2 linked regions of the Rattus norvegicus genome follow. The protein of the gene in region 2 purifies or fractionates together with the protein of the main gene of each other region. This does not show direct contact. Links are inferred from orthologs where the notes say so. Each region holds a gene or a part of one and is shown on either strand. Other genes may lie near its edges.

Region 1 (4,037 bases), on a different chromosome or scaffold from region 2:
GTCAACTAATATTTAGTTACAGAGGAAAACAAACCAAAAACCTCACCAACATGTAGGTTACAGGTGTTTGTTTTGTTAATGATTGTATTGAATTGAACATGTGTAATCCTAGCCCTTGAAAGCTGGTGACAAGGTCAGAGCTCAAGGCCAGTTCTGGTCTACAAAGAGACCTGGAGTCAAAACAAAACCCCTTCAAACAAATTTAAATTGTCTTGTCTTTAGATACCGTTTACCACAGATAAGCTAAACAATACAGATATGGCCACTTGCCAAAGCTAAGATGTAAGAAATCAGAAACTACTTTTCCCAGAACAATATAACATAACCTCTAATTTGTCCTATTATAACCTCTTTATTTGTCTTAATCTATGTAGTACAGGGCCTTAAAAAAAACTCATTTCCTTTTTAGTTTTGTTTCTCTGAGACTCTATCATAGCCTTGGCTGTGCTGGAGGCCTAGGCCTCTCTTTCCACCATGCCCTGCAGGACCTCACTCCTGATTCCTTGTAAACCACTAGAGCATTGGAGAAAATTCAATAGTAGCTACTTTAAAGAATGTCAAGACTGGTAATACTGGGAGAGGTAGCAGGAACCCCACAAGACAATAATATTCTCTTCTGTTAGAGCCTGGTGTGGTGGCCTACATCTGTTTCTGAACTCTGGACACTGGCACAGTGAAGACACATTCCAGGTCAACCAGGGCAGACTAAGCTACACAGCACTGAGACAAACCCACCCTGCAATGATTTATGGCCAGAAACGTTTCTGGAATTCATTGGGTATCTACATTCAGTAGGCAGAATTTGGGTGACTTAATACCACTGCTAAAACAACACAACTAGAAAGAAAAATACACAACTGAGTACACCCACCAGACCTTAAGGTCTCAGGCTTTTCAGCTCAATATTACAGTGTCAAGGGCTTCTCATTTGACTGCCTCACTCCACTTGCAAATGAAGTAACAAACAGAATTCTAAAACGTTTCCAAGAAAGTCAGTTCTTTTTCAATCATGCAATAGCCAAGACCCAATCATTAAGAGGTTTTAAGCCTAACTCAAACGAGTGTAATGTGGTTCCTATGTATGTCCACTGTGCTTGCTAGAATCCAAAACTGCTTGCATCTTAATGATCCAGCAGAAAATAAAGCTTCTACAATTAAGATTCTTTTACAAGGCGTTTTCTAACCGAATTTCCTTTTTCTACCACTGCCCCTCACTTTGAACTGTTAACCATTCCCTTGTTTTGAGACAAGATCTGTGTAGCCCAGGCTAGCTTTTAACTCCAAGCTCCTGACTCAGCCTCAAATGCAGGGATTACTGGTATGTGTCACCCCAAGGGGTTCTTTTGGTTTCAACAGCTTGGTTACTTTCAAAGACTTTTTTTCCTTCGAGGTAGGGGCTCCCTGTGTAGTCCTGGGACTCACTACACAGATCAGGCTGGCTTTGAATCTGTTTTGTCTTTGCCTCCTGAGTCGATTTGCCACCACAACTAGCCAAGTTTTCATCGTATCCAAACAAAAAGCACCCAGAGTTTATCTAGACGCGAAGTGTTTCCACTCTCTAGGTGTCAGAAATAAAGCTGGCATAAGCTTTTGGATGTATTGATTCCAGGGCATATATTCAAGGATTTCTCAGGCAACACACCACCAAAAGCTTCGTACGTTAACTAATTAAAAAAACATATAAAGGGGGTTGAGGATTTAGCTCAGTGGTAGAGCGCTTGCCTAGCAAGCGCAAGGCCCTGGGTTCGGTCCCCAGCTCCGAAAAAAAAGAAAAAAAAATAAAAACAAAACTTCTTAGCTTAGGCTTCAAAATCAACTGGATCTTTAAAAGGCAATTTAAAAAGTCACCTGCCTCTTGGCTCTCCCAATTTCGATCTTTTAGAAATCAACTCCAGCACTTCCTATTCCAAACTGCTTCCAGTTAACCAAAATAAGACACAAGGGTAGTAAAACCTAGTTTAGATTCAAAAAGGTCTTTCCGACTCTAGTCCTTCTCTAAAAGGGATGGCTAACATAGCGGAAAGGAAACCATTCAAGGCAGCTTTTCCTAGATGAAAACTGTTCTCCCCATAAGACGCGAGGGCCAGCTTGCAGGTATCAAATGACCAGCGAGCGGGCCAAGAGAGGAGACCAGGCTGGCCTGCCACTTCCGAGCCAGGACCGCGGTCCGCAAAGGCGCCCGCCAGAGCCTGAGGCCCGCGCACTGCCGCCATTGTACGTCCCGAGCCTCAGGCTCTGCGGGCCACCCCGCCCCCCGCCTGCACCTCCCCCTTACCCTCCACGGTCCCGGTCACGATCCCGATCCCCAAAGCCGCCTCCGCGCATGGTCCCAAACGGATAAAGATCTGGGAGTGGGGCACGGATGACCGAGCTCGGGAGGGCTTGCTGCTCTGGTCTAGTGATGACCGATGGCGGCGGCGCCTCCGCTGTTGGGGCGGCGGCAGGCGCGGCGCTGTCTCGCTCCGACGCGCTGTCTCCCGTCGCAGACGCCACCGTCGCCGCCTCTCTCGTCGGAGACGGGAGCAAAACTCAGAGAATCGGGGTTGTTAGTACAGTTGGGAGGTCTGGTCACGCTCAAACCGGGCGGTGCCACGGTTTAGGCGTCTCCTTCCCTTCCCAGCAACTGCACAAAATGGCGGCGGCCGCTGAGACTGCTCCAACTTAACGCTACGCACAGCCGAGACGCTACGTAAACAGCGCCTGGAGGGCTGCGCGCGATGCTACAGACATTCTAGGAATGGCTTTACGCCGGTGACGGAGATGAGTGCTCTTGTTGGTCCACCTAAATAAGGCAGTGTGCGCAACCGGCGTAGCGTTCTCGCGCCGCCAGCTCTAGAACGTTGGGTGGGGGTGGGGCGAGCCGTCGGCACGACGTAACATTGTTTGCGTCGTTGGCCAGCCCACTATTGCGAGGATGCGCAGTCTTCGTAGCGCATTCTGTTTAGAGAATCGACTTATCCCGGCATTCCGAGCTCAAACGACCCTTGATGCCAGCCTTGTGCAGACACAATGGTCGCTTTCCATGTTGCTTTGGTCAGGCTTCGGGGTCTGTGGGCCGTAGAACCCTGAAAGTCTTGAGACCCTCTTGGTTGGCCTCGGCCCCTCGCCCCAGCGCCCTTTGTGCCCCAAGCTAGCCACACGCCCCGGCGCCATTTCCTTCCCGTTGCTTTTTGCCGCGCTGGCGCCGCAGCCATGTTGGATGCATCGTGTCGCTCTCTAAAGCGGGCAACAACCCAGCTAGGCTAAAAGACATCCAGTGTTTCCCGCAGTTCATGTTAAGGTGCCATTTTTCCGTACAGAGTGTTGTCACATTTCCCACTGGCCATAGTTGATGCCTCATACGGAGGCCACACCTTCCCAGAGTCCTTTCTGAGGTGGGCGCTTTGAACCTTAGCCATCATTAAAATGGGTGACTCACACGGGTCCGCGACTGCAGAAACGGTGCGTTTTCTAGGTGAGGATTTGCAAACCCAATCCGGGGAAGGCAGGCTGGGCTAGGCCACGGGTACCACCCAACTCCTAGATTACTTTCTTTGCTTGCCATCCCTGCACACTGCCAAGCCACACAAGCTTGGTCATACTTGCTTTATAAAATTGTGAAACTGCTGTATTCCTTGAGACCTCTAGGCTCATTTCTATAGACGCGGAGAATGGAAGCCTGAAGACTGAGTCTTGTCTCCGGTTCTGAGTGTTGCTTAGCTTATTGAAAGCCCTTGAGAAGCTGTTCATTTGTCATTTGGGCCATAGAGAAAGTCACAGAAATCCATGCATTTCGATAGTTGCTAGGGCACTGGGGAACCAACACATTCCTTTGCTCAGAGCTCTATTCTCTAGAGACGGAGAGGAGACAGATGACAAATGTTTATGTCAGACTCTTTTTTTTAAAGATTTATTTATTTTATGTATGTGAATATACTGTCGCTGTCTTCAGACACACCAGAAGAGGGCATCAGATCCCATTACAGATGGTTGTGAGCCACCATGTAGTTGCTGGGAATTGAACTCAGGACCTCTGGAAGAGCAGTCAGTGCTCTTAA
Region 2 (4,019 bases):
TCTTTGGGGGTGATGGGAAGTTCTGAGACAGGATCTAACTACTTAGCTGGATGACCTTAATTAACTATATAGACCAGCCTAGCCTCAAACTTTCTACAGAGCCCATATGGTTCTTACAACCTAAGTGCTGAAATTATAGGTGTGTACCTCCATGCCTACTTGCTACCTTCCTTTTTTGTCTGCCTTTTTTTTTTTTTTTTTTTTTTTGGAGACAGGGTCTCACTATGTAGCTCTGGCTGGCCTCAAACTCTGCCCTCCCCAATCTAGGATTAAACTATGACTGGCTACTTGCCACATTCTTTATATTTAAAAAAAAAAAAAAGGAAAAAGAAAAGAAACACCTGTAAATCACTTCCTTCCATGTAGCATTTGTAAAAATATACCAACATTTAATCCAAATACTACAACCTACATTTTGTTGAGGTTTCTGTGTAAAGATGACTTTTTGAATCATTGGCATTAAGTTCCATGTTTACAAAGACTTACACAAGAGCAGTTATGTAAAACTGGCAATGCTGCTACAGAACAGCTAACCACCTCAGATGAGGGTGCAACCAAAGATCTGGTGGGCTAAGGAAAAGGCAACCACTGCCCCCACCCCAATACAGCACATAAGCCTGCCTCAAACATGACACTGAGGCAACGGTCAGATCACTAGACAATTGAAAAAAATAAAAAGAAGTCCTTAAATGACCAAACATGTAAAGACTTAAAAAGGCAGACTGAGGGGCTATGATGTAGGGTAGGGGCCATCCTAGAATGCCAGTAATGTTTTACTATTTGTTTTGACAGTTATTTAAATACTGTAATTCTGCTTTACTGGACAACCTCTGTAGTTACTATTCTACAAGATACAGGTGAGGGGAAACCATTATTCCTCTAAAGCAATGACTTGCTTCAGGGCCTTCATTAGCCAAACTGAAAAAATTTGAAGGTTTGGGCTACTTAATACATTAAAAAGCTAGCAAGGGTAACTTTGTTGGGACCAAAAAATGTTGCTCTAAGAACTGAAGGGCTCAAGAAAATAATTTTATTTTTTCTGAGACAGGATTGCTCTGTGTAGCCCTGGTTGTTCTCGAACTCAAGAGACCAACCTCTGCCTTCCCAGCCCTGGCACCAAAGGTGTGCGTCACCACTGCCTAAAGTCAATTAAACCTTTTAAAAGGTCTAAAACTAAACTATGTTTTTTCATAGTTTAGACTACCAAAGACTACCAAATCTTAAATAAAGTTCCTTCAACAGGGCCAGGACTGTGGGTGTAGAACAGCACGCTTTTAAACTCGAATTTGGTTCACGGTGCTTATCTGCACTTGCTGATAACAAAGATGACTAAAAAGTGGCAATGATCTATGAAGCAGAAAACCTGCCATTGTTTTCTTGGGCTTTAGAGGCTAAAAGGTCCACGAAAGCATTTTTTCACTAAGATACAGTAGGCTGTAGTAGAATCTCCTATCGTCTCTTGGGGACACTTTGAGTAGCCTGGTACCAAAAGCCACCTGTTTACTAACTACATCGTTTGCTTCGTCAAATTGTGATGCTGGATGCTTTCCTAAGCCAAATGAAGGACCCCAGAGCTTTTCTTGTCTTCCCCCTCGCTTTCTCCTACTGCCTCCAAGGCCACATTTTCAGACCACAGATCCCCCCAGAAGCGAAAACAAACAACCAAAACCCGCCTCCGTGCCAGTTAACTGTGTGCCGAACTGCAGGTGAAGGCTAGGCTACACTTATTCCCTCGTTAAGGACCACAACATCCATCACATCCTCCAGTTCCCGCCGTGGACTTCCCAAGTCCGCTATGGGTCTCTTTTCCCTGCCCTCAATAGGACCAAGAAATAAATCAGCCTGCTAGCTTAATGAGCAGGCCTGTAGAAACGTGGGGGCCGAGGCTTTTCTGTTACTCCTGGAGCAAAGATGCTAGAAATTTCTTTCTGGAAAGATTCTCCTCTCCGGATCCAGACGGACCTTGTTATACAACCAATCCCCCACGCCGTTCGCTGAGAAAGGGACACTGGGAAGCTACTGCTTTTTGGGTAAGGAAGGAGGTGGAGTTAACACATAAAACCGAAGCCTCCGAGTCGGGAGGACGAAGATTTGGGGGCGCCAACTAGGTCTAAAAGACCCAGCAAGCCAGCGCTGGGCTTGAGCTGGGAGCCCTCCAGGGGGCAGCTTGGTAGCGCCGGGCCCGGACAGGCCTGGAGGATAATGGGGCTCCTCATAAGCCGGCGCCCCTCAGCTTACACGTTCGCGACGTTTTTTTGTTTGCTTTTTATCTGAGTTTCTACACAATAAACACTTGCCCCTAGGCTAGCGATAGGAGGAGAGGTGACACGGAAACCGGCCACCGCTTCTCGAGCCGCCATCAGACACCTCGCTTCACGCGCCTTAGGGGTGATGAGGTCCAGGCCCAGCCGCGGTCCCCTTTGGGCCTCAGAGACCGTAGGCCCCGCCCACGTGGCGAGAGACCGGGCGCAGCAGCACCGACAACCGCCACACAAAAGAGGCCAAGACGGGCTCCGCACGCCCCAGCTACCGCGAGGCCCTCGCGCGCAACGCGGGCACCGGAAGGTTCCAGAACCAGTCCGCCTAGTGGGGGGGAGGGGAAGGGAACGCGGACCCCCCGAGCTCGTCGGGCCACGGCGGGAACTCCAACCCCTATCGGCAACTCCACTGAGTCATTCCTGCCACCCCCAGAGACAAGCGCCCCCCAGTTTGAGCGTCCCAGCTGTGGCCGGCGCGACCGCGATCCCACTCCACTTACCCGTGGACGCCATTTTCTCTCCTTCCTCCTCGTTCTCTCAACGTCCGTCTCCCTCTCGCGTTCCCCCTAGGCGCCGCACTGCGCAGGCGCGAAACCCGCAACCTCGGACGCTACCATAGGGCCAGGCCACGGGGGTGGGCGAAGAGAAACGAGCCGGCGATATCCGGCTCTTTGCTCCCGAAACCGTTGACCCAATCCTCTCCAAAGAGCCGGACGTGACGCGTGGTCTAAAAAAGGCACCTCAGGGGTCAGCGCGCTAGTGAGCGAGTGTTCCCAACAAACCCGAGGGATCCTCTGCACGAGGCTTGGTGGCTTGGAATGGTTAGGCCCGCTGGCTCTAGGGACCGTCTCTGAAGAGTCTGCCCTGGAGGGAGACGGAGGCTGGCGGGAGGGCTGGGGGAAGGGATCCCGGCCTGGCACAACTGCTGACTAATCGGCAGGCGGGATCACGCGCCTGTGTGTGCGCGCAGCGGGCTCGGGGCACCTAGGTCTCGGCCTAGTGCGGGCGGCCAGGCTACCGGGCGGGCCCCCCACCTCGGTTTTCCAGGGTGGGTGGGGGTGGGGAGGACGAGCTCCCCAGGACCTTGGACGCGTGGCCTGAGCGGGCGGGGGAGGGGAATGAGGTCCGTCTGCTTGGGAGGGAGGCCGGGAATGCCGCGCCCGACCCCAGTAACGGTCGGAGTCCAGAAGCCCTATAATCATCCATCCTTCAACTCATACCCTTGTCTTAACAGAAAACTCAGGCCCAAGAAATTGAGTACTTCCCCTAGAGTTACAAAGCTGAATCCGACCCAGACCCCGGGACTCCCCTCTCTGTGCTCCACCCGGAAGCTTCTCCACTGTCCTTGATTTCCCATTCTGTCCTCCTGGCTTCCCAGTAAGGTAGGCAGGGTGTGACGATGCATAGCTCTGAGAGGTCTCTGACCAGGGTTCCAGAAGGACACTGAGGCCGATTGTTGGCGAGCGGGTTTCTTTTTTTTTTTTTTTTTTTTTTTAATCTTAAGAGTCACTGACACGGTGGACAAACACAGACAAACATTAGCATGGCATGGCGGGCGAGGACTCTGAAGAAACCAGGGTCCATGTGGGAGAAGTAGGCGTGTCACGCCTTTCTGAGGATGGGCGTGGTTTCACCGCTGAAGCTTATGGCTGGCGGCAGGAATGGAAGGGAGCGGGGAGCCGGATGTGTAGCCGCCAGTTTCCCATTTGATGTAAAATCACCTCCTTCAGGTGAGAGATCCAGGCACCCGCGTCTGTTAGC

What was found.
Region 1: the proteins of Ewsr1 (region 2) and Ddx17 purify together in Homo sapiens (affinity purification with mass spectrometry; 3 studies listed by BioGRID, with this or other methods). This does not show direct contact. The link is inferred for Rattus norvegicus from reciprocal best matches to the Homo sapiens genes EWSR1 and DDX17.

Annotation. Positions count from the first base shown.
Region 1 is NC_086025.1:112,986,945-112,990,981, forward strand, and holds the start of Ddx17 (probable ATP-dependent RNA helicase DDX17), read right to left. Parts: upstream 2,804-4,037; 5' UTR 2,326-2,803; coding exon 2,276-2,325; intron 1-2,275. UniProt on the Homo sapiens protein: As an RNA helicase, unwinds RNA and alters RNA structures through ATP binding and hydrolysis.
Region 2 is NC_086032.1:84,205,289-84,209,307, forward strand, and holds the start of Ewsr1 (RNA-binding protein EWS), read right to left. Parts: upstream 2,808-4,019; 5' UTR 2,772-2,807; coding exon 2,759-2,771; intron 1-2,758. UniProt on the Homo sapiens protein: Binds to ssRNA containing the consensus sequence 5'-AGGUAA-3'. Might normally function as a transcriptional repressor. EWS-fusion-proteins (EFPS) may play a role in the tumorigenic process.